3 linked regions of the Pelodiscus sinensis genome follow. The protein of the gene in region 1 interacts with the protein of each later gene in a pairwise test. Links are inferred from orthologs where the notes say so. Each region holds a gene or a part of one and is shown in the gene's direction. Other genes may lie near its edges. The genes, in order: TLE1, transcription cofactor HES-6-like and FOXA2.

Region 1 (10,097 bases):
GCTCTAACCCTCTTCTAGGTTCCCAGCAGGTAATTCTTTTCCCTCTGAGCCCCTTATCCTCACTAAACCTTCCTTACATTCCTATCTTCCTTTCCCAGATTCTCTCGTCACACTCTGGCTGCACAATCTGTCTACCTGATTCAGGAGAACATGCAAGACACAATTGGTTAGTTAGGGATGCAGCAGGTCAAAACATTTTGACAAAAACAATTTTAACAACAAATTACACAAATTTTGAAAAATGTCATTTGTTAAAATATTACCTCTTGTCAAGGAAGCAGACTGACAGTACCGACAAATAGAAACAGCTGGTTCTTCTGTGGAGTTGCATTGGCTAGTCGTGGTGAAAGTCAATTAGATTATGATAAATAAGAGGAATAACTCCTTCTCTGTTTAATATTACAGTTGAAAAATGACCAGTATCTGAGGTTTTTGCAAACAGTTCTGAAGTTTGGAGTTCATGGGAAATGTTGTTGTTGTTCAGCTAAAGCAGCCAAAGAAAATGTGCGAAATAGGGCAAAAATTACATAGAAAATTCAATTGTCCTATAAGGATATATAGCGCCAAAAGTGGAGATTAAATTCAATCATTCATTTTCATGGTGAAGCAGAAGAATTTAAATCCTGCTTTAGATACAATCTCCACAGACCCTCTAATATAGAGTTTCTACTGATGCATCTATTGTGTATAAAAGCTGCAAAATATCATTTTATCTTTCCTGTAGGCTGAGGACAGAAGTGCCATAGTTTATGAAAATTAACATTTATACCAATGATATATTATCTATTTATTTTTATTACTACCACCTATCTTATGATAATCTTAATAGTTCTAGATGTTTTCCAACACAGAGGAAAGCAGAACCCCTGGAGTCATACAGCCTCATTTATAAAAGTGTGCGTATGATTATTGTATACATGCTGATCCCACAACATCTAACACACATACCACTTATCTTTACTAATATGAGTAGCATCAATAGCTTTAATGTGATTATTCACATTAATAAAGTTAAGCATATTTTTATTTTCAGGATGTGTGCGCTTACTATATAAAATACATACACACTATTCATTCTTCTATGATTTCTTTCTGTAGTGAGAGGCAAAAAGCATGATGTACTGACAGGTGGTCTTCATTATAAAGGTCACTGACATTATAAAGTATCTTATGAAAGATGACACTGCACCTAGAAGGTTATCAGGCAGGAGCCATGAAGTCTAAAACAAAGTCTCTGACTACACTATAAAAGGGTAATATCTCTGACACCTTTTTTTAGTCTTATCACAGTTTTCACAGAGTCCCTCCCAGAGGTCTTAATCACCCTTTCCTTTTCCTTCAGCAGGCATGTATTCACTTCCCCAAAGCATTGTCTCCAAGTACTCTGGGAAAGTACTGAAGTTATAAAGGAGCTACTGTAATTATAAGTACTACAGTAATGGATTCAAGTACACTCATTTATCATAAAGGGCTTCCCCATCTGTCTCTAAAGTATGCTCAAAATGCTGTGTATTTGATAATATTAAGGTGGAAAATTTAACACATTTTCCTCTCAAACACTGCATATTGGTTAACTTTTTGTCAAATAGCATGCCTGCAGATTGACTGATAAAAGAGATTTGTGTGTGTGGTCTCTTCCTAATTTATTTGCACTTCAACCCACTGGGATCAAGCTGCAATCCCTGTAGGCAAAAGAAGATTAGGGAAAGGGACTGACTGTTTTTTCCCAGAGACAGACGGGAAAGCAACTCTTCAAGTATTGCAAGTTCTTCTGGCCTCTATACAAATTGTTCCTGAGTGTGGAGAGTTTCCAAAAGACCTAATTAGCAACTCACTACAAACATTTCTTTGCATTAGCTAATGATCCGGCTACACTTGTAAGCAAACAGTACCAACATATCTAATCAATGCAGAAAAACCAACAGAATGCCTATTAAACATCTGGATGTAATTTTCTAGTTAGACTTGAAATAAAATGAAAACATATGCAGGTTCCTTTGATCTCTGCCTTAACAAAGAAATTGTTGATATAAAAGCATACTGGCTAGTCAATGTGTCATTTTCATAAACCCTGGTCATTTCTCTTCAGATGTTCCCAATTTAATTTTGTTGGTTTCCTGCAATCTCTAATTTTACCATATTGTGTGAAACCACAAGAGATTCTTTGGATCTGATTTTATTTGAGGTTTTACTGATGCATAATTTGCTACTGATTTTTTTTTCCTACTTAGTCTGGAAGAATTTTTTAAGGGCAACAAACTGAGAGAAGGTAATCGCGAGATGAAGGAAAAAAGTCATCCTGGAACTTGTCAAAAATTCCTGTTTATAAGACAAATTATTAATTTGAAAAAAGTTGAAAAAATATGTAAAGAGCTGATTAACTGTAATATAGTGAATTATGATAAAGTAAATAATTTTATCTTGTTATAATTTTGATTTTATAAATAAGGCAGAATCTTGAAAAAATACTCCTTTTGCATTTCATTATAACCATTATAATCTCTTCAAATATAGCACTATTATATTACATATACCATATGACTCAGGCACTCTTTCATCTAGTTTTGCTCCTAGCTGTACAGTAAGCACATTGCAACCAAATATTTTAAAATGTTCATCTTCTTTTTCTGAAAGATAATCCAATGAATTTTTAAATAAATAATTTTAAAAGCATAAACCCTATTAAATCTTATACTTGTCTTTTAAATTTTTTTCTTACCGCATTATGGTTTGCAGAGGAGTGAAGTAAATTACAATTTTTAGAAAGAGTTTTCTTCTCCATTAGCAAATTCCAGATAATTGACATTACCAGCATTTTATTATAAAGATTTTGCCACTCTGTGGGAATTTTTAAAAAGTGAAAATGTATTCATATTGCTTGTAACCAATAATGCTAACTGTAAAGAATAAAAAAATAAATCAAATGAAAATCATTCCTCTGATTGAGCAAGATGCTATATCTGAAACCTAATATTATAATAAAACTACATTTTGGGCCTGATCCTGATTGGTTTGTGCACCCAAAACTCCCACTGATGTCATTGTGAGTTTTGGTACAAAATCAAAACAGGATTAGGCCTTGACACTGTCGGAAATCAGAACATCAAATTAGTATGCTCGTAGTAAGGGAAAAAAGTATCAGATTTCAAATAAATGAGTAGAAATTATGATTAAATAGAGATTTTTGGTATTTTATTATTGAAGGCCTCTGCAAACAGCATGTTTATTTAAAACATAAGATTAAAGCAGCTTGATTGTTTAAACATCATTATTTTTAATGCAGTAGTATAATTATTACAGTATAACAGTCTAAAAGAAAATATTACCTTGAATGGGATACAGCTGAGCTTTCTATACCTTTACTCTTCAACGTATCCAAATTTTGCTCTTGTTGCACTGGCTTAAGTATTGAGAAACATCATGGACTCCAGTGCAATTAACATTACATTTACATTGGTAAAAAAACAACAAATGGTCTGCCAAGAGCAGATTTTGGTCCCCTACCATCAGACCATGATGAATTATAAATTAACTACATGAAAGAACGAGTATTTATTTATTTATTTATTTAATACATATAATAACTTTCATTTTACAAAAATCAACCCGTTTTATAATCAAACAGTTCTATGACTGGTTTTACTGCTTATCCATTCTGATTTTGATGGAAGAGGCTCAAAATGCCCTTAAGTCTCTGCTCCTGGCACCTCAGTAGGTCAGAAAGAACTTGTTAAAAGGAATGAGGAAAACAGAGTGCTCTCCTGCATTTGTTAAAACATGCCCTGAAAAATTTAAATATGGTAAATACCGGTAAAGATCACAAGACATTTCAACTTTCATGTAGGTGAGCAATTAAAATATCCACTTTTGTTCTTGTTCCAAAATATACTGCTGTTTTAATGCTTAATCTGTTTATATCTCATTAACAACTTGCGCCAGCAGGCTAAGCATTGTATTAACCAAAGCTGGATGAGAAAGTGTTGTGTTGTCTCAGGTTCCATAACTACCAGGTGCACTCCTACCATATATAATGATAGTTTGTATTTTATAGCACTTCTCATCTGAGGAATCTAAAGTGCTTTATAAGCATTAATTAATTAAACTTCTTACTGCCTCTGTGAGATAGCTAAATATGCTAATAATATCTATTTTATATGAATAAACTGATGCACAGAGAGGTTAAGTGCCTTGCCCATGATAACACAGCAAATCATTGGCAGAGTTGGCCATAGACTTCTCGGAAATTCTGACTCCCAGACTTGTGCATGAACCACTAGACAAATTTACAATCTGCTACCACAAACACTGCCTTCTATTTAAAAGCAAATCTTTGTTGACTACCCTTAGGAAATGGTGAAAGGAGAAAATATATTTTCTTAGCCTTATAAGTATCACATTCAAAACCCTAAGGAGTGCAAAATTCATCTGGTATTTTGCAAAATACTCACAGGTAATAAGAGCTTTGTTTTAGTTTTTGTTATCCACACCTTCCCCTACACACACACACCTCTGTCTTCTGTCATTTCTTAAATGCAGGTAAAATTGGTAATAAAGCAGTTCAAAAATAATAGAGAATTGAATAAAGCCATACATTGCTCTTGTTCAGAGATGTAACGATTTCACTCCTATTGAATTGTAACTATAATCACTTCTAATTTAAATTATATACTGAAAGTACAATTATGAATAAATCAATCGCATACACATTTAAAGGAAAGTTTAAATATAGGGTGAAAAAATGTTTACTATTAAATTGCTCTCTTTATGTTCAAGTGGCTCCCTATAATATTTAGAATCTCTCCACTAGGTAAAATATATTACAGTAACTGAATAAGTACATGAACATTTATTAAAGCATTGTTTTAAATTTAAAGCTATTCGTGCCTGATGCTTGATTATTAAATTCTGTTATAAATAAAATGGTTGTTACTAGAGGATGTGTTCTAAAGATGTTTACATCCCATTGTGGGCTGTGTCAGTGTTTGGCATGGTGGTAGTCACACATGGAACATGTGGAATTGATTTGACCCTAGTCTATTTCAAATAGACCTATAAACTGTTTATAATATTGGAAGTTTCTGAGTGCTTGGCTCTGATGAAACTCCCTTAGAAAAAGTCAGTATTACGCAATATGGACAACTTCATTTCTGTCTGAGGTTACCGTCTAAAATTATATTGCAATATATTAGACCTGAGGTGAGACTTTCTTCCTACTTTATTATGTATCTCCTCTATTGAAATACACTATAAGTGGGTGCCATAGTTTATGCACCTGTCTGTACATAACCTATAAATCAAATATGTATGCATACCATAGTTGTCTGTTAGAATTAGAAAGTAAATGCTGAGATAAAAAATCATAGGCTAAAAGTGCTTTCAATTTACAACAATGAACAGCACTGAATGTTGTTTTTAATAAAAACAGGTATGAGAGCAAAATGGGGCCTGATTTGTGGTGATTTGGATGGGCTGTATATCTGTATTATAATAGCATAAAGTGGTCATTTGTATAATTTATATTTAAATACAACTGAGTATGTATATACATAAGACATTAAAATAGTTGACCACTAGTGGATCTTATGGGTAAATTGGCTTTCCAGCAACTGAGTTTTGTCATGTTCATAACTTTCCTTCTGGTCCTCGAGGTGAATTGTTCTAAGAAAAATTGGATACAGATAACTATATACACACTAACCTCAAAGGCTGCCCTAGTGCATAACACTCTACACCTTAGCTTGTGTGTTTAAGCAGGGCACTGTACGTCTGGCTGTAAAGGCAGCTGGTCCTGCCCTAAAATAGGATGCAGTATTTATCTTTCCATGTTACTTTCACAGATTGAGACTAGAGAAAGGAGGGAGGGCAAAGTGGAGGAATAAACCAGATCCCAGCAATACACTCCTCCCTCCATTCTCTTTCCCCTCCTCCTCCTCCTCCTCCATTCTCTTTCCCCTCCTCCTCCTCCTCCTCCTCCTTTCTCTCTGGTTCCCCCCCCCCGCCCACGTTACTTTGAGTGACAGTTCAGCCTCTCCCCTCTCCTTCCCACCGTCCTTCCCGTTCTCCCCAGCCTTTCTGAGCGTTCCACGGACTCCTATTGGTCCGCTCGGAAGGGTCCTGCCGCTCTGCCAGGAGAGCTGGAGGGATCAGCCGCTTGCCCCATTGGGCAGGCGGGAGGAGTACATCAGCGCCCCACGTTGGTGCCTGAGCAGGCGATTGGCCAGGGTCCTCCCCACCTCCCTTCGAGTGGGCGGGGCCGGGTGGCTGGTTAGCTAGAGGAGTGTGAAACCGCGTGTTAATGTAGCCAGCGCGGGCGGATACATTGTGTCCCGTGTACCGAGAGCCTGCTACTGCCTGGGCGCTGCGCTCCTCGGCCCGCACCCCGCGGAGTTTGCATCCTGCGCGCTATTAGCCATGGGGGCGCGGCTGTAAGTGGGGGGGGGGGTCTGGGTTTTTTTTCCCCCCGCCCGCCGCTGTCTGGATGTGTCACCCCGGGGCGCTGGAGAGAACTTTGTCCCGGCCGTGAGCGGGGCGAGGCGCCGGCCCAGGATGCTGCTGCGCGCGGGGCGCTGCTGGTGAGAGCCGCTGCTGCGAGCGAGGCTGCCGCGGGGCTGATCCACGGAGGAGTTGATTAGCCTTTGAATAGCCCTGCCGGGTGCGCTTGGGGGGGAGGGTGGCCTGGGAGCAGGGGGTGGGTGTTGCTGGTGCCTCTCTCTTTGCAACGGCCCGAGGAGTCTCCGCGGTGCATGTGCCGCTGGAGCCGGCCCCTGCTACTCTGCGAGCGGCCCTTTCGCCAACGCCCGGGAGCAGCAGCAGCGCGGCACTCGCCGGGGACTTTCTCTCGTGCCCCTATCTGCTGAGTGTCCCGCTGGTGCCAGCCCGCCCGCGCCCCGGCCTGGATTTCCCCTGCGGGCAGGAGCCGTGGGGAGAGGATTCGCCCCCGCTCGGAGTTTCCGGTCTTACAATTGCACAAGTTACGAGCCTGCGAAAGGGGATTATTTACGCTGCAGACAGAAGCGGCGGCCGGAGGAGGAGGAGGCGGTCAGGCAGCGAGGGGAGCAGCCACCCCCCGCCTTGTGCCGCCCCCGCCCCGCGGAGCGGCGCGGCCTGGGGACCGGCTGGGGCCGGCGCGCCCAAGGAGCCGACACCTGCCGGTGACTTTTCAGAAAGCGGCGGGACCGAGCCCCCAGCCCGACAACAACAAAGGAGGCGACGGGAGGAGCATGCCGCGGCCGGGGCGCTGAGCGGTGGCGTCTGCCCCCGGGGGCTGCACGGGGCTCGGGATCTAAAGTTGGGGTCTGAGTCGAGAATTGAGCTGCACAGGAGCAAAGCGGCGGCCAGAGCCATGTTTCCCCAGAGCCGGCATCCCGTAAGTAACCCCAGGCCCGGACACCCCGCAGGTGGGGGTGACAGAGCGGGGATCCCCGCTGCTCTTTCCCCAGGGTGAGTGAGTGAGTGAGTGGCTAGTACCCCTGCTTGCCCAGTCAGCCTCTCTCGCTGTCGGGGCTACATTCTCCACCGCCTCCGCCTCCTGCTCTCGCAGTCCCGCGGGCCCTTGGGCTTCCTGCCCTAAGAATAGCAGACCCACAACAGGGCACGAGGCAACTTATTGGCTTTCCTGCTCTTCTCCCCCCCCCCCCCCCCCCCCCCCCCCCCCGGCGTGTCCCTTTCCCGGAACTCAGACCTTGCCTGTCTACCGGAGAGCATAGGGGGATGGGGGTAGGGCGTCTCCTCTCTCCCTCCTTCCCTTTTGTTTTAATGTGTAACTTATTTGCATCTAAATGACAATGGCGGGGCCGGGACGCTCCCCCGCCTCCCCGCCAGGTTGGCTCCTTCCCCCTTCTTTAGTTGTGGCCAAATAAGCTCTGGCTGCTGGACCCAGGGACAGGATATGAGCTCGCCTTTCCACCCCCCCCCCCCCCCCACCGCACTTGATTTTACAGCAGGGAGCGGTTAGCAACCTACTAGTTTTCCTGGGATGGTGGTGACAAGTGTAAGGAGAGTTGAGGGGTGTTCCAGGGTGGAGTGAAAACCAACTTCTTTTTTTGTGGGGGAGGAGGTGTAGTGGGCAGTCGTGATAAGTGGAAGGAGGAGCTGGATCTCCAAGTTTCTCCCCGCTTCCATTAGCACACACAGTTGTTCATGTGTTGCTGGAGGTGCCCCAGTTGTAGGGTGGCAAATGGTGGTGGGAGCAGGTGCTTCCTAAGAAGCTACCTGCCAAGACAGTGGGATAAGTAGCTTATCTTTCATGCCCATCTTATGGCCTTGCTCACTGTTTTTTGTTTAAACATTTTTCTTTTCTTGTGCCTTCTTTCTTCTCTCCTGGCCTTTCTAGACACCACACCAGGCTGCAGGTCAGCCTTTTAAATTCACTATTCCAGAGTCTCTAGATCGGATCAAAGAGGAGTTTCAGTTCCTCCAAGCTCAGTATCACAGGTGGGTGCATCATGTTTTTTTCATACCCAATTCTCCCTGCACCGCAGGCCTGAGGCACATACTGCGTTTGAGGATTTCAGGCTGGTGCACAACGTGTTGTTCAGTGGGGTGTATTTCTTATCTCCACTTTTGCTGGTGGGAGAAGCTGTGTTTTATGTCTGTGTCCAGATGGTGGCGTGTGGAGTCACAGTTAAGTCCTGTCATTCACTCCTTTTCTTTACTTGCCATTGTTTTCATAGCTTGTTTTGCTGCTGTTCAGATGAACTTTTTCTGTGTGTTTTTAGAGCTTCACAATAACTGTCAATATTTGCTCTTGGGAATTTTGTAATAGGCTGTGTTCAGAACAGCAGGTCAATGGGTGACTTTGTCCTCATGTTACCGCATTCCAGTACTAAGGACTGTTGAAATAAGGTTTTAATAAGAACTAGAAGTTCAATGGGAAGCAGTGAAGTCCAGTGGTGAAATTGAGTGTCTGAGTTTAGGACCAGTTTAGGTTCTAAGCCCAGCTCTGGCACTTAATATATGGAACCATCTGTAAAATGCTCAGGATGGGAGTGTGGAATTTAACTCTTTGATAGGATTCTTTAGTGAAAAGCCTACAAAGTATTGGGAGAGAATATCCCCTTCTAACTGTAGGGGAAAATGTAAAAGGCTGGTTCTCAGCTTATGTATGTCTGCACTTTTTTGATGCAAATAAGACTTTAAAGAGCAAATAAGGATTTTTAAAAAAGCATGCAAGTATTTTAGTGTGCTACCACATATAAGTGAATTTCATTGCTTTGGTAATCTAAGTTATGGTTGCTATACTATTCTTGATATATTGCCAGTTCTTGTGCATGTTGCTGAGGTCTCTGCCCATGTCAAGGATGTATTTCCCCTTATTGTATGGACAGTACTTTTGGCATTAAAAGGGAATGTGTCCCTTGGTGTATTGCTGTATCCTGTGTTTGAGTAGAGATGAATAGAGAGTTCCATGTACATATTTCTATCTTTTTAAAGTTTGGACTACACATTCTTCATGTTGTTGTCCCTGGGTTTTATTTCTAAATAGTAACTCACAAAGGCCTGTGTTTATTTTTGATAACTCTTGCATTTAAAAGTGCATCAACTGTGTACTGTTACATATACAAAAGATGACCATTTGGATAGATTTACTATTTTTTTTTTGTAATATGGACTGGTAATAGATTCTTTTTTTAAAGAAGTAGTATCTAATATTTTGTTTAAATTGGAAATATTGGAGTAGTAAATGGTACAGCTTATTTGAAACTAGTTTCTCCATTTACTTTTTATGTACTTAGGAGAACAAAAAATAAAGGCACGCCGAATTTTAAATAATACTTAAAAAAAAAAAAAAAAAAAAAAAAGAGAGAACCTCTTTTCCAGTCTTTGACAAGATAGTGAAGTACAAAATCAGATTTCTTGGAGTAAAAGTCTAGAATTGAAATGCCCTTGAATTTCCTACAGTGGTGTTGCTGTTAAATTCTGGTACATTACATGTGAAGTGTAAAGAGCTTTCTAGTTCACTAAGAGTTAAACTAGTGAATTCGGGCAATCCAATAGTCCTGGGGGTTGTGGCAATGTTTGGTAATCACTCTAAGTATATAGTGTTTTAATATTTAAAGCCTTATTTAGTATGTATTTAAAATGAATCTGATTTGAAG
Region 2 (10,234 bases), on another chromosome or scaffold:
CGCCTGTCCCAAAGAACAGGGAAGAGGATTCGGGGTTCGAGCGGAAGGTTCAAGTCAGCATACCTGATTCCAGTCATCTTCGAGGGATCTCCTGGCTGTTCCTCTCCTGAGGCCCGGAAGGACCAAAGGATTGAGGTTGCCAGCTTCGCCCTCATCTTCCGTCAAGGGATCTCCTGGCTGTTCCTCTCCCAAGGCCCGGAAGGACCAAAGGATTGAGGTTGCCAGCAACACTAATGTCACGGGGCGCACGCCCCCCCAGTAGCCTCAGTGCCCCCTGACTGTCTTCACATGGCCCATCTCAGGGCAAGTTACAGTCTGTATGGGTTGCTCATCATCAGCTTCACAGCAGTTTATACTGGCCCTTTAAACAGGCCGAGTCCACAAACGGATTCTCGTCGTAGCTGGGCACCCCCCCGGTAGGGGGACCTGGGCCCACCCTACTCCACCGGGTCCCGGCCCAGGGCCCTGTGAGCGACCAGGTATAGGGTCACTCCCTCGGTGGGGCTAGCTAGCCAAAACCCACCAAGGCTCTCAGGCCAAGAGGGGCGCCTCCCGCTCCTGCCCTGGGCCACTTCCTACCTGGCCTTGCCCAGCTGGCTGCGATCTCCAGGCCGGTGTCCCCTCGGCAGGTAGTCTCCAGGTGACACCAACTCGCCTCTGCCTTCCTCCAGGCCTCTCCTGCCATCCCCGGCAACTGCTGAGGGAGAGCTTCCCTCTCCAGTCCGTCTCCTGCAGCTGTATCCCTCCCAGGAGCTCCTGCTGCCTCTGCAGTCAGCCCTGCACTCCCCCTTCCAGCAACTGGGCCTCTCCTTTTATAGCTGGCAGCTGAGCTCATTAGTCTAACCATCTCAGCTGGTCTTCCAGCTTCCCTCAGGCTAGGGCCTGAGCCTGGGGCTTAAAGGCCCAGTGCAGGGCAGGCGCCCTGTCACAACTAACAATCATCCTCCCTGCACCTAGACTATGTTACATAATCTTTAGTGTGAGTCTTTTAACCGTTCTTGCTTGTTTGTTATCTATGTTAAATATAGTTAGTGGTTTAAATTCTACTGAAAAGTCTCAGTATTTATTTATGCGCCACAAACCAATGACCACTTAAAAAGGGACCCCCGGTGATAGAATACAGAATTTGGTGTCCACAGTTTGTAACCCTTTTAAATTTAGGTGGCTAATTGGCATCTCAAATCATTTCTTACAGTTACCTCGAGTAACACAATAACCAACACAAGAATCAACTGAACAATAGACTTTTTATTTACAAGGGGGAGGGGGAGGAGACCTTCAACTGGAACAGGGAGGGGGAGGTGCTACTGGTACGGGTGGCCCCTGCGAGCGCTTCTTCGGGGGCGGACCTGCACATGCGGGGCAGGCTGCATCGGGGCAGGCTGCACGGAGAGGTGGGCAGGAGCTGGGGGCATAGGAGCAGGGGCGGCAGGAGCAGGGGCAGGAGCTGGGGGCATAGGAGCAGGGGCCATTGCAGGGGCATGGGCAGTGCTACGGGAGAGATGGTGGGGTCATAGGGTACGGCCATGCCATAGTGCATGGCGTGCACAAAGTGCGTAGTGAGGATGGCCATGGAGTCAGCCATCCTTGTACACTGTGCCTAGAAGGCACCCCAGGCCTCCTGCCGCCACTGCAGGTCCCCCTGCACACAGTCATGAATGGAGCCCTGGATTGCCTCCACCGCTACAATGTGGCGGCGAAGCAGCTGGTCCCGGTGTCGGAGCCTGCGCCTCCAGGGTTGGCCAGCTGGGGGTGCCGCTGCTGCCGGACTGGAAGGTCTTGAGCTCCATCCCGCTGCAGGGAAAAGAAGAAAGGATGGGTCAGTCAGGCAGGCCGTCCACTGTCCCCACACCTCATGCCCTCCACTCCTGAGCACAGGTGACCCCACAGTTGTGTGGCTTGGGCCCACTCGGTTCCTCCCTTGCCCCCCGTGTTGTATGTTTGCAAGGAGGACCGCCCCTGGAGTAGGGTCCTCCTCTAGTATTGTAACCACCGGTCTGTGTCCTGGCCCCATGGAGGGCGGGAGGGTGCTTGTGTTGCGTACACCCATGGAACTCCCTGCTGGTGGAGACTGTGAAGCTTTGGGCTAATCACTGGTGTTTGACAGGGAGCGAGATGCATCCCCACACAGTGCCTGAAAGCACATCTGGCAGAGGTGGTCTGGGTTCTCAGATCCCATCGCGTGGGATATCTCCTGGACAGAACCAGAAGAGTGACTGGGGGGCAGGTGTGTCCCATCCTTGCAGCAAAACTCAGGGCGGGCCTTCTCCCTCCCACTATCCCTCCCACAACCCCAGTAGCCCAGGGACATGTGTGGCCACGGTGGGGACTTCCCTTGGGGAGCCAGTCAAGGCACCGGGAGCAGGCGAGGGGCTCGGTGGGGCATGGTCACAGGACCGTGACGCTGCGGCGTACCCAAGAGCAGCTGGCTGTGCCTCACAGCCAGGCATGGGACAGTGTGCCGTTCTCCGTGCTGCACCCTTGGCGGAGGTGCGGGCTCTGGGCTGAGTCCCTGGGGCCCTGGCTGGTCCCAGCCGGCATCCATCCTTCCCCCTGGTCCCGCCGAATGTGTGTGAGCAGCACGGTCCCAGGCGTGCCCTGCAGCTGCCTACCGCAACCACGTGCCACTCGGTCACCAGGCTGCACGGGGTTGCACGTGCTGCTTGCTGTCTAATGCTACACAGCGTGCAGCTCACGTGGCCTGAGTGACATGCTCTCCCCGTCCCCCCTCCGGGTGCCTGGCTCCCCCCCCCGCCACCCTCCGCCCTTGTGAGTGCAAACTGCAAAGACTCACCAGTGGATCCTTCCCCGGCCTTGGAGGAGCTGCTGGAGAGGGCCTGCTGGGTGGCAACGCTGGCCTCCTCTCCCGAAGCGCTGATGCTGTGCTCTTCCTCCCCTGCCTCGGTGGTTCGGATGACGGGGGGGCGCTGACAGGTGTCAACAGGCACATCCGGGCCTTGCAGGGCTGGCTGCCCGAGGATGGCATGCAGCCGGTCGTAACGGGGGCAGGTGTCTGGTCCTGCCCCCCTGCCCTCGCTGGCCCGCACGTACCCCAGCCAGAGCTCTTTCACCTTTGCCCGGACTTGCTCACTGTTCCGGACAGCGTGTCCCTGTTGGCTCAGAGCCTCGGCCATCCAGACAAAGATATCGACATTCCAGCGCCGGGACCGGATGTCATGGAGACCCTCCTCCTCCTGCCAGAGGTCTAGGAGGGTCTCCAGCTCCCTGGGGGTCCAGGAGGGAGCCTGCCTTTTGCAGCCCCTGGGGGCCTCCTGAGCTGGGGGTGCAGGGGACTCACCAGCAGGCGCTGCCATGGCTGGCTTCTGATGCTGGCTGAGCAGGGCAGGGGCGCTGTGGCAGAGCTCGGGCCACAGGGCTGAGGCACGCTCCTGCCTCGTGCACTCAGCAGCCTGCAACTGCTTTAGAAGCTCGGGTTACCAGGAAGTCCAGGGCTCCTACTGGGTCTCCAGGTATCCAATCCACTTTTTTCCGTTTCTTCTGCTTTTTCGGAAAAGCGCTAGCTTGCTGTCTACACTGGCCCTTTTCCAGAACAGTTTTCCAGAAAAAGGACTTTTGCCCGAATGGGAGTGGCAAAGCTTTTCCGGAAAAGCAGTTGATTTTCCGGAATAACTTGCCAGTATAAACACAGCCTAGGGCTACGTCTAGACTGGCATGAAAAGTTTTCAGTTAAAAGCATTTTCTGAACAGAGCGTCTAGATTGGCACGGATGCTTTTCCGCAAAAGCACAAAAGCACTTTTTGCGGAAAAGCGTCTGTGCCAATCTAGACGCGCTTTTCCGCAAAAAAGCCCCGATCGCCATTTTTGCAATCGGGGCTTTTTTGCAGAAAACAAATCTCAGCTGTCTACACTGGCCCTTTTGCGCAAAAGGACTTTTGCCCGAATGGGAGCAGCATAGTTTTTCCAGAAAAACACTGACAATCTTACATGAGATCGTCAGTGCTTTTTTGGAAATTCAAGCGGCCAGTGTAGACAGCTGGCAAGTTTTTCTGGAAAAGCGGCGGATTTTCCGGAAAAACTGGCCAGTCTAGTCACAGCCATGTAGTACTGAGCAGAAATGAAGAGTGTTATGCAGAACACATACAGAGAGGCAGACAGATACAGGTACTAGCATATATCTATGCATTTGTCTTTTTGTGCCTAAGATGTTGATTACACACACACGAGATGCATCTCATTTTCTTAGATAGTCAAAATATGACATACATTACCAACAAGGAAAAAGAAGGAAACAAAGAAGTGAGAGCAAACACCTGTCGCTCTCCTTGGGGACAAGACCTAATGCTTTTTATTTGATTCAGTCTGTTGAGGGGACTGCAGCTGCCAACTGTCATCAGCATCAAGTTACATTCACAAAGACACATTCTTTAGGTTAAGGAACAGAAAAGGCAACAAAATCCAGAAAGGAAGGGAGGAATTTTTCAAATGTGTTGCAAATACATTGGATCATGATTCTTTATAGAATTTCAATGTCTGACTTGATGATCAGTCTGATTTTGAAGAATACACATGCTGTTTCATGGTAATTGCTAAATAAATCAAGTATTCAAAAGACAAACATCACCTAGAAAAAATTTAAATTAGTCTATGATTGTATGTAAATATTCACATTTCTCATAATATTGAATTCTTATGAGGGCCTACTCCTAAGTCATTGACTTTAATTGGAGTTTAGATTAAGTAAGGACTTGAAGCCTGGACCCATGGCATTTTCCTCCAAATATCTGTATCTGCTTTCCTACTTGCACAATTTAGCCTTCTTCACACCCACATTGTTGATTACAACAGATCTCTTACTTTTTTATGCCTTTAATAACATGAATACTGTTAAGAAACAGTTGTCAGGGAGATTTATAATACACTGTAAAGTACACATACCAATAAAGTAACTGGAAATTGGTTCCTAATATCTAATAAATAGAGCAAAAGAGATTTCTGCTGGTTTTTTGAGGTTTTTTGTTCGTGGAATTATGAAAATTTGGCAGCAATTTAATTGTGAACACCTTTGGAAATGTAGCATGAATTCTAGAAAATGGTAACTGTTATATGTTCATGATGTAGCCTGGAAGATTTGTTGATAACAATAGAAAGAGTTTAGGGGACTTTATTAGTGCCAAAGATAATAATATCCCTTATGAACAATAGACTTATGATCTGCAGTAACGGTATTGTAAACTGTTTGTTCATAGCCACTAATCCTGGTTCTCAGTGTTCCATGCTATTATTTAGCTCTAATTCTAAGAGCACAGCAAGCAGAGGAAGAGTTGGTAATGCTGCTAGGCAATATTTACCTCCCTTGGTTCAGCAGAGTGGTTCAGTAAATTCTCTGGTTTGGCCAAGGGTCAGGCCCAAAGGTGCTGGACAAGCAGTACCAGATGGCTCGTGGGAACAGAAGAGGGAGTAGTTTCCTCAAGAAACATAGGGCTTGGTGCCAGTGTTCCCATCCCTTTTCACATGTCTGAGCTTCCTTCCCCACTTGAGCAAAGACTTCAATTGGAGTACTCTGCTGGAGTTCAGATTGAATCCCATCCTATATACAGGGTAGTTTGTTCCCACTGCTGAGTGAATCCCATTACAATCGACACAAAAAAGCAGGCAGGGGATGACCCCAACCAACGCCATCCAACCTCGAGCATCCTGCCCTTCCCAGCCCTCTCGCCTAGCCTCCCCTCCCTCCTCCGCACTAGAGGAGATTCAGAACGCCTCTGGCTAGACAAAGCGCCGGTCTCCCATTGGTCAGTTCGCTCATCGCTACGGCTTCTCCCGGCTCGCAGTGACCAATGGTCTCATTGACATGCAAATCAGAGGCTATAAGTAAGGCCGGGGAGCGGCGCCACGGGGAGGGGCGGGGGAATCTCGGGCTGCCTGTGTGATCCAGTTGCCAGCTGCCGCCTCCTCCCGCGCCCCTCCCCCGCCCGCGGCGTTTGAGCCGCGCTCCGCCATGGCCCCGTCCTCGCGAAGCAGCAAGAGCCGGCCCAGCCGGGAGGAGGAGGGCGCCTGTGAGGCGCGAGGGGACAGGAAGGTGAGCGGGCCGGGCCGGGCGGGGAGCGGGGCCGCAGGTGGAGCCGCGGCGCTCGGTGCAATGTGCGTTTCCCCTTCTCCCCAGGCCCGGAAGCCGCTGGTGGAGAAGCAGCGGCGCGCGCGGATTAACGAGAGCCTGCGGGAGCTGCGGCTGCTCCTGGCCGGCACCGAGGTAGGCAGCGGGCGGGGCCGGGCGGGCCGGGCCAGGCGCGGGGCTGATCGCTCTCCTCTCTCGCCGCGCCGGCGGCAGTTTCAGGCCAAGATGGAGAACGCCGAGGTGCTGGAGCTGACCGTGAGGCGGGTGCAGGGCGCGCTGCAGAGCCGGTCGCGCGGTGAGTGCCCCGCCGAGCGGGGAGGGGGCGGGGCGGGGGACGGGGCGCCCCCTCACTCCCGCTGTGTGTGTTCTCTTGTGGGCGCTGCTGCAGAAAGCGACAAGTTGCACCGGGAGGCCAGCGAGCGGTTTGCAGCCGGGTACATTCAGTGCATGCACGAAGTCCATACCTTCGTCTCCAGCTACCCGGGCATGGATGCCACCCTCGCCGCCCAGCTGCTCAACCACCTGCTGGAGTCCATGCCGCTTAACGAAGGCAGCCTCCAGGACCTGATTGCGGACGTTTTGTCAGAGCCTTCCATCAGCCTCTGGCCTGGCATTGAGGGCCTCTCCCAGCCCACCGGGGTGTCCTCTGCAGCTCTGAGCCTGGCCAGCCCCCCTACAGCTCTTCTTTCCCCGTCCTCCAGTGAGGAGACCTGTTCTGATCTGGAAGAGACGGAGGCCGAGCAAAGTCCGACCTCCCCCACTGGACTGGACAGTTCCCGGACATGCAATGTGCCTTCCCCTAGCTTTGCCAAATCTATGTGGAGACCTTGGTAAATACAGAAAACTGCACAGGAATCAGCAGATATCTACCTAGTAATGGGGGAATACTTGAGCACTGTGTTCTCCTTACAGCCATTGGAATAGACAGTGGGGCTTTCAGATGGTGCATTGGGTGTGTCTACCATTACTGTATTTCAGGACTGCAGAGATGGCACTCTTACACTGTCAGACCCTGACAGGTTAATTGTTAAATGTGTTAACATTCAGCAGTGTGAGAGATGTTTGGTAACTGTTGGATTGTTTTTGGAAAGTTTGGAGTGTTGGGAGGGGAGAAGATTTTTTTTTTTTTGTTCGCAAAGCTCTTTGGTGGATGCACAATGGTATTTCACATGCTTGTCTCATCCTTTTGGCCCTTATAAAAGGCCTCAATATCACTTCCTTTTTCTGTAAACAAAAAGCCCTTGTGCATTTTATACCTTGGTGGTTAACCAATGAGGTATATCACGTAAGTGTGCATGCACAATTTTAAGCATTATAGTGAAAGTAAAGATCCCTGAAAGGGATTGGTGTGGTTATTGTCTTTTATTATTTAGTGGTCTGGAATCTTGCCTTCAGTGAAGGAAGAGTAAACTAGAGATCAGTTGGAATTAGACAAACATTTAATATTGGTGGCAGGGTGCCTTTTAGAAATGAGTGTTTATGCACATTTTGCTTTTAGCACATTTGAGTTTGTGACTTTATGTATATTAGGGTGTCAAATGTTTTATTTTTAATCTTTAATAAAATATTGTATTCACAAATGATCGCATGTATTTTGGAGTGTAACACACTTCTGACCACTTTAAAATTAAAAATCCAGTTCCAAATTGTTTGGTATTAACACATTTTTATCTATTGTGGAAAAATACTGGTAATTTAGCACTTAATTCTCGTACTAAGCATAGCTAGCTTAGGTATTGGAAGTTGAATGTTTTTGTTTAATACTGAAAGATGCTTAGGATATTGAAGGAAACCAAGGTAGTGGTATTGTAGGTTGACTTTAGGATACTAAAATTCCTGGGAGTGGTTGTGTGACTGCCATTCTCAAGCAACTACTTAACTTGATTTCCCCAATTAAGTCTTTTTTGTAATGCTGTAGTTCTAACTTGAGTACTAGGCAGTTGATCTGCTTGTGTCTCTTTACCTGTATTCTGCTATAAGGATTGACAGATGTTGAAGTGTGTGAAATAGATTTGAAAATTTTCTCCAAAAAGAAAATACTTAATGACCTCTGGAGCACCAGCATTCATGTATACAAGGTCATACACCTCAGTGTTCCTATTTTTTGGAAGATATAGGTTATTTATACTAAGATATTACCTTTCACAGCTCTGTTGTTAGGAAAAGTATTGTGATGTTGCTTCCTTAGTACATGTGGAGGTATTTAAGAATAGAACCAGCTAGGAGAGGAAGCACAATAAGTACATGGTGATGAAAACATGTAATTTTCTTTTGTTAATAACCCTGTGAACAATAAAATTGGATACCTAAATTATTGGTAGACCTCTGTTTTGTAACTTTCTTTAAATTATCTGATGTGGGTGTTTTTTCACAGCTGAGTTGTTTGTTTTCCCTAGTTGTGCTAAAATTCTCACCTGCCTTTGAACTAGCAAGCAGAGCAGCACTTCTCAAAAGAGGTGAGAGTACTGCCTGTAAAGACCTTTCTGCTTTAGAGAGGGAGGATGGTGTTTTGATGTGTAAATGGAAGTAGTGGCATGGACAGTTCAACTAAAAGTAACACCCTAAGCACAAATGACATCTCTTGGAAACTCATTTCACAGAGTGAATGTGATTCCAGATTTGTTTAAAAGAAGTGATTGCCCTCCAATAATACCTGCATTCTGAACATTTTATTCTTAGCCACTGTTCACTAGTACTAATAGTAGCAAAGCATTATAGTGAGTGCTCAAAGATAAATTGAACATTAAAAACATTAGGCTCTGGCAAATGATTCACTTGTAAGATTCTCTTGAGGGAAGGTAAAACCATAGGCTATTTCCTCACCACAGCAACAAAAATGCCCAGCATTTTAAAGCCCTAGTCCAGAATTCACCAGCCAGCAGGGCAGAAAATGGAAGACAAATCTAACCTGTGCCAAGGTAGTGAAGATGTGCACAGTACCCCCTGCAGCTTAAACAGTGTTGTATAATTGAGTGTAGGTTGCATTCACTTGCATGAGATACTTCTGGTGAAGTCCTGTGCATTCATGTGTGTTGGAACATTTTCTCTATCAGTCATGCATGTCCAACAAACTACTCTTGTAATGGTTTTCCTCCAGCTCCTCCAAGTGTACTGCTTGCAGGGAGATTCCCTGGCAGCAGGGAGGTGCTTGGCAGCCTGGGGAAACTGCTGGGGCAGATCAGCTTGATTTCATTTCGATGAGATAAAAAGACTTGGTTAGGGCTCTTCTGAGGGCCTTGTGAAAGTAAAGTGCAAATCCTGACACTTGTGTGATAGAAACATGACAGAAGACATGCCAGCTTTGGTTCAGTAGTGAATTTTGTAGCTAATAAGAGTCATTGCCCTGTAAATCAAAGTAAAAAAGCTTTGCCCTATAAGTCTTACAGAAGGAAAGCTTGAGGGTAAATAGTGTGATTTCCCTAATCTCATATATACCCACTATATTTTCTCTCCCACAGCATGTGCTTCATTTAGCTATAGCTGAAGGGAGAAAGTACTGCCAGGCACATATTTAACCCACTTTAGCATGTTACAGCAGTAGATGTACTTGTACACCTTGTATAAAATATATAAAGGCTTTTTTGTAAAGCTTATAGATTATCATTGTATACTTGTTTTTAGCAGCACTGAGGGAGTGATCTATTATCCTTGTAACTATGCAAGTACCCAGTGTGCATTGTGGAGAAGTAGTCTACAATAAAACTCAAACAGCAGGAATGGGTAGTGGTTTTAGTTTTAGGCATGCTAACTAAGGCCTTCTGTCTGCTCTTTCAATAAAGCCAGAAAACTGGGGTATAATTATCAACAGAAACCAAGTGTATGTACTCTGCCCTTCCTGAAAGGAGGAAAATGTACTTTTTCTGTTCATTATTCTCAATTTTTATTTAAGAAAAATCACCTGGGCCAAAGCAATGCAACTTAGCCCCTGAAGTGTCAAAAGCATTTTAGAAATGTGCTAAAATAGGGTTTTTTTAATACACAAATTAAGTTCTTAGAAAGTTTACATCCTCTGATGCTATAGCATTTCAAAACCTGCATTTCTGAATTTACGGTAAAGGTGTCAGATCTAACACTTCCCTGACAAAGGCAGGAAGAGGTGAGTGTTGGAGAGGGAAGGAGAAGATTTCCAGCAGCTCTGATGGGGGGAAATCCATGCAG
Region 3 (9,213 bases), on another chromosome or scaffold:
TAGAGTTCCCTGCTACAGCACAAGATAAATGCCAATTCCTTGTGCAAAAGTTCTCAACTGAATATTGGCCTCACATCAGACCCTTATGTTTCCATTCTTTCCTCCACATGATCGGAGGCACTAGTCCGGGGCATTTCATGCACCGATTGTCCAAAGGAAATCGTTTCCTCCTACCCTTTGGCATTTGAGGTGTCTCCGAAGCGAGAAGCACAACCCTTGTTTCAAATGTGTATTCATAACCAAAAAAAATAGGATCAATCAGTCCCTGGATACCATTTATAGCATGGGCATGATGGGTTCATGTATTTCCCAAATGCCCCCCCCCCCGCCACCCCACGGCCTGCATTCATGAGAAGCGGTGGATGCAAATCTCTGCATCACTGTATGCAGAAAGTGGAAAGAAAACAAAGATTAACACCTCCGTTGCTCCCTGTGGGTGCTGGAAGGGCAAGCTTCCTCCAGGAGAAAAGGGGCCTTGGTTTGAAATGTCCTGGTTACCGTAGTTTCCCTTCCATAGTGCCTTCCCTTGGATTGGGAGAATGCGGTGTTTTAACAGGCTTTTAGGGGCCAGGTGCACAGACATCTGGAGGCTAGTGAGTTCTCACTCTTCTCCAGCGTGGAGAGAACTACCAGGGTGGAGTTTCAGCGGGTAGCCGAGTTAGTCTGTTACAGAAAAAAACAGCAAATGATCTGGTAGCAATTTATAGACAAACAAAACATGTAGATGGGATCATGAGCTTCCGTGGGCACAGCCCACTTCTTTAGATGACTGAAACTTCTGAAACAGAACAGTTACTACTAAGTATCCATGTAGTAACAGGCAAGGGAATGACACCAGCTGATTGTCTGTCGACCAGCTGGGACTGAAAGATCCATCACACACTCTAAAAAGCATCGCAGCAGCGGGTCTAAAAGGTTCAGACTCTCCTGTCTTACTCCTGCTCTCCCAGATCCATTTTTAAAGGACCTTTGCAAATGCCCTGTGACATTCTCTGGTGGAAATGCAATTTACGCCTACTTTAAGGTGCAAATTACACTTTGACACTGGCACATTCCCGTCAAAGGCCTGGGTGTAAATGAGCAACAGAACTTGAGGATCTCAGGAGTGGTTCTGGTCATGGGACCAGACCTATGGAGAGTATATGCCATTCCAGGGACATCTGTAGTGCACCCGCCAGCCCTGCAAAATGTGAACACAGAGGGCATCTGGTTAACCGTAGAAATCCAACGGCATGACTGCAGGGGCAGACCTGGGGTCTTCTTCTGTAGTCGGGAAAGGCCCTCGAATTAGAATATTTGGGGCAGAAATCTCAGCATTAGTAAAAGAGAAAAGAGAAATCCCACAGGATCCTTTTGGAACCTCTCAGGTCTGGGGGAAGATCCTTGTTTCCATCTCTGTGACTAACGGACTTCCCGGAGAGGCGGTCGCTAGGTTGGATGAGAGAAAGACTTAGCTGCATCTGCAGTGGGAAGGGGCTGACATTTTTCACAGCTCTAAGTGGTGTAGTTAGAGCTGATCTCACTTTTAGGTGCAGGCCAGACCTAGGATAAATGTAGGCTCTGAGCCAGCAAAGCTTTATCGATGTGCTTAATTGTATGCGCTGTGAGGAACCCTGCCGAGATCAATAGCAAGTCTAACCGCGTGTTAAGCGCTGTGTAGGTGTAGGCTGGACAATCTGATTGGTGCTAGAAAATCCTCTTTAAGGACTTGCTCCTACTATTGTTGAACTCAGGGGAATTATTTTGCCCTTGACATCTGTTAGACGGTTAGAACACGATCACGTAATCATTCCTCGTGGCACTGTTGCCATTTGATTTCATACCTGGGGAAAAAAGTCACCTCCCATCAGAACCATGCCAAAAAAGATTTAACTTAATGTCAAGCACTAAACTAGAAATAGCTGATCTTTGGGTCATTCACCCTCAATTATTTATATGCAACATCCTCTTAATTGATTTTACTTAATCAGCTCCTTATATTTTCCCTTTCAAGCAATGCATTTTTCTGTTGTATTGCATATGGTTAAACTGAGCGGGAGAGGAGCGTGGAAGGAAACACTGAAGTACAAGCCACATGCACTGTTCTAATGTGATGTAGTGGATGACCAACACCAAAAAATAGTTGCTCCATCCCTAAAACAGATCTTGCCCCAGTTTTGACAGGTGAGTGAAGAGCCCATCACCCACATCTTCCCTGGCCTCAGTTGCCCATCTGTAAAATGGACACAATATTCCTTCCTTTCTTTTCTCTGTTGCTGCAGTGTGCTCAGAATGTCCCTTCCTCCTCGAACCTCCCTACACCAAAGCCTGCAAGTGTGTCCTCAGAAGGTGGTTTCCCCCTGGAGGAATCCACTGTAGCCAGATCAGGTGGCTTTTAGGGACACTGGCAGCCATTTCAAGGGGCCCCAAAAAGAATTACACAGACTAAAGGGCTAGAATGAACCATTATGATAATTTAGTGTGACCTCTGACATCACACAGGGCCACAGAATTCTACCCAGTGATTTAATCAAACCAATAACTGTGCTCAGAAGATACATGAAACCTCACAGGAACAAGCACATTTAGAATAGACAATTGTATTGTGTGTGTATGGAGTAGGGGTGGGTGTGGGGGGAGGGGAGGGGAGGGGGAATGTTTAAATTGTCCAATTAACCTCTTTGCAATTATTCATTAATGATAGTTGGTTGTCTTGTGGGGCTATGGCTGCTGTTTAATAGGAAGGATTCTTTAAAAGTGTAGTCATACTGAGAAGAAAAACAACCGCTTGATGTACCCTTCATCTGAGGCTCTAAAATCACTCTACAAGCATTTGGTTACAGTAGAAGGATCAGGCAGTATGCCACTGTGCACAAGCTAAGAAGCAGGCTGCTTTGGACTCTAAAATGAAGGCTAACACATAGAGGCACTGGTTTTAGGGGCTAATCCACAGCCCAGTGAAATCAATGGGAATCTTTCCATTTACTTCGATGGGCTTTGGATCAGGCCCCTCATCCTATTGAATATGGAGTGCCATTGAACCAACGACAGGGGGCGCTCTACCACTATATTTTAATCTGTAAGACCCTGAAAAGGTGCCAGAAAAACTGTCTGTTTCCATCAAGCAAGACACAGGAGAAGCGCCAGTTTATCTATTTTTTTAAAAGAGTGCTAATCAGATCTTGGCTTTCCACACTTATTCCCAAGGGACCCTGTAGCTTGGCTTCTGTATTGTCATCATTTAGTTGAAACAATAAATACGGACTCTTAAAAAGCCAGAAGAAAAGCCGCTAATTCTGCAGAATAAAAAAAGAGAGATTCATATTTTTATTAACAAAATATTCAGTTTCTCACAAAATCACGTTGGCTGATTTTTTTTGTTGGCGTCCTTTAACATTTCTGTTTAATCGACTGTTGGCTTCTTTAGACATGTCTGTACCCGTTATAAAATTATTCATTTTATGAGTGTCTGCGTGTAAATGAAAAACCTCTGGGGCGGTCTATATCAGCATTATATTATAATTATTATAAAACCTTCGTTCTTAGAGTTGGGAAGTGTTTGTCTTCTTTGAAAGAAAAGTTAGTGGGACATATTACGCCATTTATTGATAGTGATATCTTTTTAGGGAGAAGTTTTGTAAGACAGACAGATAGATGTGTATGGGGACGAGGGGGAGAGAGAGGTGTATGCCGATAAATAGCCAGATAGCTAGATAGCGGAGGTATATGGGGATAGATAGATAGATAGATAGATAGATAGATAGATAGATAGATAGATAGATAGATAGATAGATAGATGGAGTGTATGGGGATAGATAGATAGAGGGGATGTATGGGGATAGATAGATAGATAGATAGATAGATAGATAGATAGATAGATAGATAGATAGAGTGTATGGGGATAGATAGATAGAGGGGATGTATGGGGATAGATAGATAGATAGATAGATAGATAGATGGGTTGTATGGAGATAGATAGATAGATAGATAGATAGATAGATAGATAGATAGATAGATAGATAGATAGGGTGTCGATTTCAGTGGACATTTGTACATGAAAATAATGGATGATGCCAGGACACCGTCCCCTGTTTTTTTTTACGACAGAATTTTGTCAGACAAAACTAGAATCACTTGTTCTCTTTACAACCTTAACTTCAAAATTCGGATGGAGACCAGGTGTCTGCGGGGTATTGGCAACGAAATAGGATCACTCCCCTTCGCAGAATCGCTGTTTTCTATTCCTCGAGAAAGACCGTTTAATCTCTCATGAGCCGAAGCTGTTAAAGACACTTGACTTCGTTTAATGTCTCAAACAGCGGCTGAAGTATCCTCAGAAAATAAAGACAAGTTCCAGCCTTTGGTCGAACAACTGTGGCAAGAAGAGCAAGTAGTGTTCTCTCTGTCTGTCTGCCTGTCTCTCTCTCCATACACCATATCTATCTATCTATCTATCTATCTATCTATCTATCTATCTATCTATCTATCTATCTATCTATCTATCTATCTATCTATCTATCTATCTATCTATCTAATCTATCTATCTATCTATCTATCTATCTATCTATCTATCTATCTATCGATCCCCATACACCTCCTCTGTCTGTCTGTCTGTCTGATTTCTTTCTTTCTTTCTTTCTTTCTTTCTTTCTTTCTTTCTTTCTTTCTTTCTTTCTTTCTTTCTTTCTTTCTTTCTTTCTTTCTTTCTTTCTTTCTTTCTTTCTTTCTTTCCCCATACACACTCTCTCTCTCTCTCTCTCTCTCTCTCTCTCTCTCTCTCTCTCTCTCTCTCTCTCTCTCTCCATACACATCCATCCATCCATCCATCTATCTAAGAAAACAGGGACACGGGAAAAGAATCCCCCACTAGTTACAAAATGGACTCTCAATTAGCAGGCCCCGCGAGGAAGCTTGGCCGAGCGTGTCCCAGACCCATGACCCCGCGTCCCCTTCCCAGGGGGCTGCGTGGCGAGCTGGCCGGGGACGGGGCTAGTTCCCACGGCCAAGCGTTGGGATGCGGGGTCGTTCCCGCTGGGAAGGCGTTGTGGGTGAATTGGGACCTGGCCGGTAGTTCCTGGGGGCAGCCGCTGGCGCAGGAGACGCTGCTCCGGGCTGCGGGAGACAATCGCAGGTCCCGGGCCCCGGCTGTTGGCTCCCGCACCTTGCCCCTGTTTGTTTTAGTTACCTCGGCGGTGGCTGGGTAACCGCGGGCCAGGCTGCCCTGCCGCCGCCGAATGGGCGCTCCCCAGCCATTTCACCCCTTCCTAAGCCCCAGGCGGCGCGGGGGGAATGCGGCGTGATACCCCCGCCGCTGCTGCGGCTCGGTTCGGGAGCGGAGTGACGCCGGGTCGCGCGCGCCCGGAGCCGCGTCGGGAGGGCCGAAGGTGTGTAAACAGCCCGGATTCGAATTAGCGCCAGGCTCGGGCTGGGTGGCCGGCTAGCGAGCCCCGAGGGCCGTGCAGCCAGGCTCGCAAACCAGGAAGAGTCCAGAGCTGGGGAGGGAGCGAGGGAAGGGGAACTGCTGCGGTCCTCACTGCAGAGCACCCCACATGCCCTCCCCGCCCCCGGACAGAGGCCAAAACAGGGGCCCATCAAGCCGGGTCCAGCCGCAGCGCGCTCGCCCTGGGGCCCGATCCGGCCGCCCCCGCCGCGGGCAGGTGCCCTGTCGCTTAGGTGTGAGCTGATTATTCAAATCGGCTGCCTGGGAAGAAGGGATTGGAGGCCGGCCGGGGGGCCCCCCGGTGCTATATCTCCCAGGCCCCCACGTCACAGCAGCTGCATTCGTCCTGCGCCTCCTCCTTTCCCCAGCGCCTCCGGGCGAGTCTGGGCTGAAAAAAACCCCCCACCACTCACCCAAGCAGCGGCTGCAGGAGGAAAAAAAAAAAAAAAAAGCATCCACCCCAAGCTAGCAGCCTGCTCCCCTCCCCTCCCCTCGCAGGCAGGCAGCGCGGGAGTGAGTCTGGAGGGGAGGGAGGGAGGGCTGGGGGGGGGTTGGTTTTTTTTTGGGTTGTTCTCTCTCCTGTCGTCGGTGGTGGCTGTTAAATTTTAAACGGCCATGCACTCCGCTTCCAGTATGCTGGGCGCCGTGAAAATGGAAGGACACGAACCCGCGGACTGGAGCAACTACTACGCCGAGCCCGAGGTAGGACGCCCGGCTGGCTCCTGGGGGGGAGGTGGGGGTGTGTGCCTGTCCCCCCCCCTCCCGAGCAGGGCGCGGGGCGGCTGCCGCGCCGGGTGAGCCGTGAGATAATATTAACTTTGTGCTCAAATATTGACTCGCGCCGCTTCCAAATCCTCTGCCCGGCCCGCGCTCTCCTCACAAAGTTGTGTTTGGCAGGGGAACCGCCGGGGGGGACCGGGGCGGGAGGGGGGCCAAGGCAGACCGGGGAGAAGTTTGTGGCCGGAGACGGGGTTTGGGGACGGAAGGGGGCAACGCGCAGGGGGCGATCCTGCGAGCCGAGCCAGCCGGCGGGTCCTGATCCTCGGATCCAGGGGGGTCGGGCGGCCAGCGGCTTGGGAGCGATTCCAGCCCGGCCAGCCCCCCCCCCCCCCCCCGCGATCCCACTGCCCCAGCGCGGGGCGACCGCTCCCTCTCCCGGCGCTGCTCTTGCGGGGAGCCGCCGGCTGCGGTTCCGCCAGAGCGCAGCGCGCCCCGGGGCTTGGGGAGCGGGGGCAGGGGGGGGCGCGCTTGGGGGGCGCCCCAGCCCCCTCGCTCGGGCGGCCCGCACTGCCTGGCAGCGGCGTTAACCTCCCCCCTTCCCGCTCCTCTCCCCTCGCAGGGCTACTCCTCCGTGAGCGGCATGAACGCGGGCCTGGGCATGAACACCTACATGGGCATGTCGGCCATGAGCGGCGGCGGCGCGGCCAGCCTGGGCGGGCCCGGCTCCATGAACGTCTCCTACGGCGCCGGCATGAGCCCCTCTCTGGCCGGCATGTCCCCCGGGCCGGGGCCCATGGGCGGCGGCATGGGGGCCCACCTCAGCCCCAGCCTGAGCCCCATGGGCGCCCAGGGGGGCTCGCTGGCCCCCTACGGCAACATGACGCCCATGAGCCCCATGTACGGGCAGGGCAACCTGGCCGGCCGCGCGCGGGACCCCAAGAGCTACCGGCGCAGCTACACGCACGCCAAGCCGCCCTACTCCTACATCTCGCTCATCACCATGGCCATCCAGCAGTCGCCCAACAAGATGCTGACGCTGAGCGAGATCTACCAGTGGATCATGGACCTGTTCCCCTTCTACCGCCAGAACCAGCAGCGCTGGCAGAACAGCATCCGCCACTCGCTCTCCTTCAACGACTGCTTCCTCAAGGTGCCCCGCTCGCCCGACAAGCCGGGCAAGGGCTCCTTCTGGACCCTGCACCCCGACTCCGGCAACATGTTCGAGAACGGCTGCTACCTGCGCCGCCAGAAGCGCTTCAAGTGCGAGCGCAGCAAGGAGGCGGGCGGCGGGGGAGGAGCGGGGGCCGGGGGCGGCGGAGGAGGCGGCGGGGGCAAGAAGCAGCCGCCGCCGGCCCCCCAGGCGGCCCCCCAAGCCGGGGAAGGAGGCTCCGACAGCGCCGCCGAGTCCCCCCACCCCGGCGCCTCGCCCTGCCGCGAGCACAAGCGGGCCCTGGCCGAGCTCAAAGCGGGGACCCCCCCGCAGCAGGCCCCCTCGCCGGCCCAGCACCTGCTGGCCCCCCACCACCTGGCCCACCCGGCCCACCTCAAGCCCGAGCACCACTACGCCTTCAACCACCCCTTCTCCATCAACAACCTGATGTCCGAGCCGCCGCCGCCCCCCCACCCGCACCCCCACCCCCCCAAAATGGACCTCAAGGCCTACGAACAGGTGATGCACTATTCCGGCTACGGCTCCCCCATGCCCGGCAGCCTGGCCATGGGGCCCGTCACGAACAAAGGTGGCTTGGACCCCTCTGCGCTGGCCGGAGACGCCGCCTACTACCAAGGGGTGTACGCTCGGCCCATCATGAACTCGTCCTGAAAGGGCTCCCCGGCCCCACCCGGCTAGGGGACGGAGGTCGGCCCTCGCCGGCGTTCGTGGCTCCAGCTATTGTGTCTATTTTGTGTCCGGGACCGACCTCCGAGGACACGTTCCCAGCCCGGTCCAAAGGCCAACGGATCGGGCCCCGGATTGGCCCCGGAAACCCCCGTTTCAATCGGAGACTTGGGGTGCTTTCTTGGGGGGGGAGGGGCGTTATTTGATGTCCTGGGCAGCGGAGGGTGGGGTCCTCTTTTTCGTTGCAGGGAGTTATAAATATATCTATTTTTTTTCCTGTGCGTGCGTGTGTGAAAGTGACGGAAAACTTAATTCGGTGTGAAACCAGGCTAGTTCGGAAAGGGAGGACCAAAAGTCTTGTCATGTTGTGTAAAAAGTGGGAGGGAAAAAAAAACACCAAAAAAAGGTTAAAAAAAAAAAGAGAGAAAAAAATCACAAAAAGAAAAAAAAAAGTCAGGCTAGATTGTTGTAATTGATACAAACGTTTGATGTTACCGGGCGAGTAAACTACTTGGATCTGATTAATTTATCGTTTCTGTATGCTTTATTTATGGCTTATAAATGTGTATTCTGGTCCCAAAGAGCCAGATTTTCACAAAAACTATATTAAAGTGTTATTGGCGTTTTTTCCCCCTGAATCTTTTTTTCCCGGATTTTCCCATTTGTTTCTGCCCCGCTGGAGGGGGGAAAAAAACGCTGACAAGGAAAACGAAAAACGAATGGATTCCCTTTTTATTTCAGATACTAATATATATATTTTTTTTAAATCTCTACCTAGGCTTGTATCTTTGTGTGTATTTATTCTTTCTGAATAGCATACATTCATATATGGAAAGAATGTAAACCTTTGTTTTATAAGATACAATATATTTGTATATATTATGAGATATATCTTTATTAATATATATTTAATAGATTATATAGCTTATATATAATACGTACTATATCTTATAAGATATATACACATATGAAAAATATAAACTGTCTAGGCACATCTATAAAAAGATATATATTATATACACACACTACATATCGATTAAAGAATCGTATAAGCTACATACAGAAGACACACACATGAAAAGTAGATGACCGCTTAGATTTTGTTCACGGTTGTATGAAAAAGTTTGAAACAGTTACACGGATGCGCTCCGGGTTTCAGCGGCTCGGGATCTAAAGCAAAGGGAGCGTTTGAGAATTCACCACGTTTGGATATTTCACGTTTTAAGCCAAGCCGCGA

What was found.
Region 2: the proteins of TLE1 (region 1) and transcription cofactor HES-6-like interact in binary tests that used the Homo sapiens proteins (3 or more experiments, as listed by UniProt). The link is inferred for Pelodiscus sinensis from reciprocal best matches to the Homo sapiens genes TLE1 and HES6.
Region 3: the proteins of TLE1 (region 1) and FOXA2 interact in a two-hybrid assay, tested with the Homo sapiens proteins (2 studies listed by BioGRID and IntAct). The link is inferred for Pelodiscus sinensis from reciprocal best matches to the Homo sapiens genes TLE1 and FOXA2.

What each region holds. Positions count from the first base shown.
Region 1 is NC_134716.1:39,161,387-39,171,483, reverse strand, and holds the start of TLE1 (transducin-like enhancer protein 1), read left to right. Parts: upstream 1-6,257; 5' UTR 6,258-7,342; coding exon 7,343-7,366; intron 7,367-8,332; coding exon 8,333-8,433; intron 8,434-8,628; exon of another isoform or gene 8,629-9,101; intron 9,102-10,097. UniProt on the Homo sapiens protein: Transcriptional corepressor that binds to a number of transcription factors. Inhibits NF-kappa-B-regulated gene expression. Inhibits the transcriptional activation mediated by FOXA2, and by CTNNB1 and TCF family members in Wnt signaling.
Region 2 is NC_134720.1:10,123,779-10,134,012, forward strand, and holds transcription cofactor HES-6-like, read left to right. Parts: upstream 1-5,733; 5' UTR 5,734-5,959; coding exon 5,960-6,040; intron 6,041-6,124; coding exon 6,125-6,371; intron 6,372-6,464; coding exon 6,465-6,910; 3' UTR 6,911-8,387; downstream 8,388-10,234. Other genes in the region: uncharacterized protein LOC142830745, read right to left, coding at 1,601-1,794, 2,795-3,314. UniProt on the Homo sapiens protein: Does not bind DNA itself but suppresses both HES1-mediated N box-dependent transcriptional repression and binding of HES1 to E box sequences.
Region 3 is NC_134713.1:196,615,564-196,624,776, reverse strand, and holds FOXA2 (hepatocyte nuclear factor 3-beta), read left to right. Parts: upstream 1-4,824; 5' UTR 4,825-5,268; coding exon 5,269-5,363; intron 5,364-6,051; coding exon 6,052-6,121; intron 6,122-6,758; coding exon 6,759-7,961; 3' UTR 7,962-8,604; downstream 8,605-9,213. UniProt on the Homo sapiens protein: Transcription factor that is involved in embryonic development, establishment of tissue-specific gene expression and regulation of gene expression in differentiated tissues.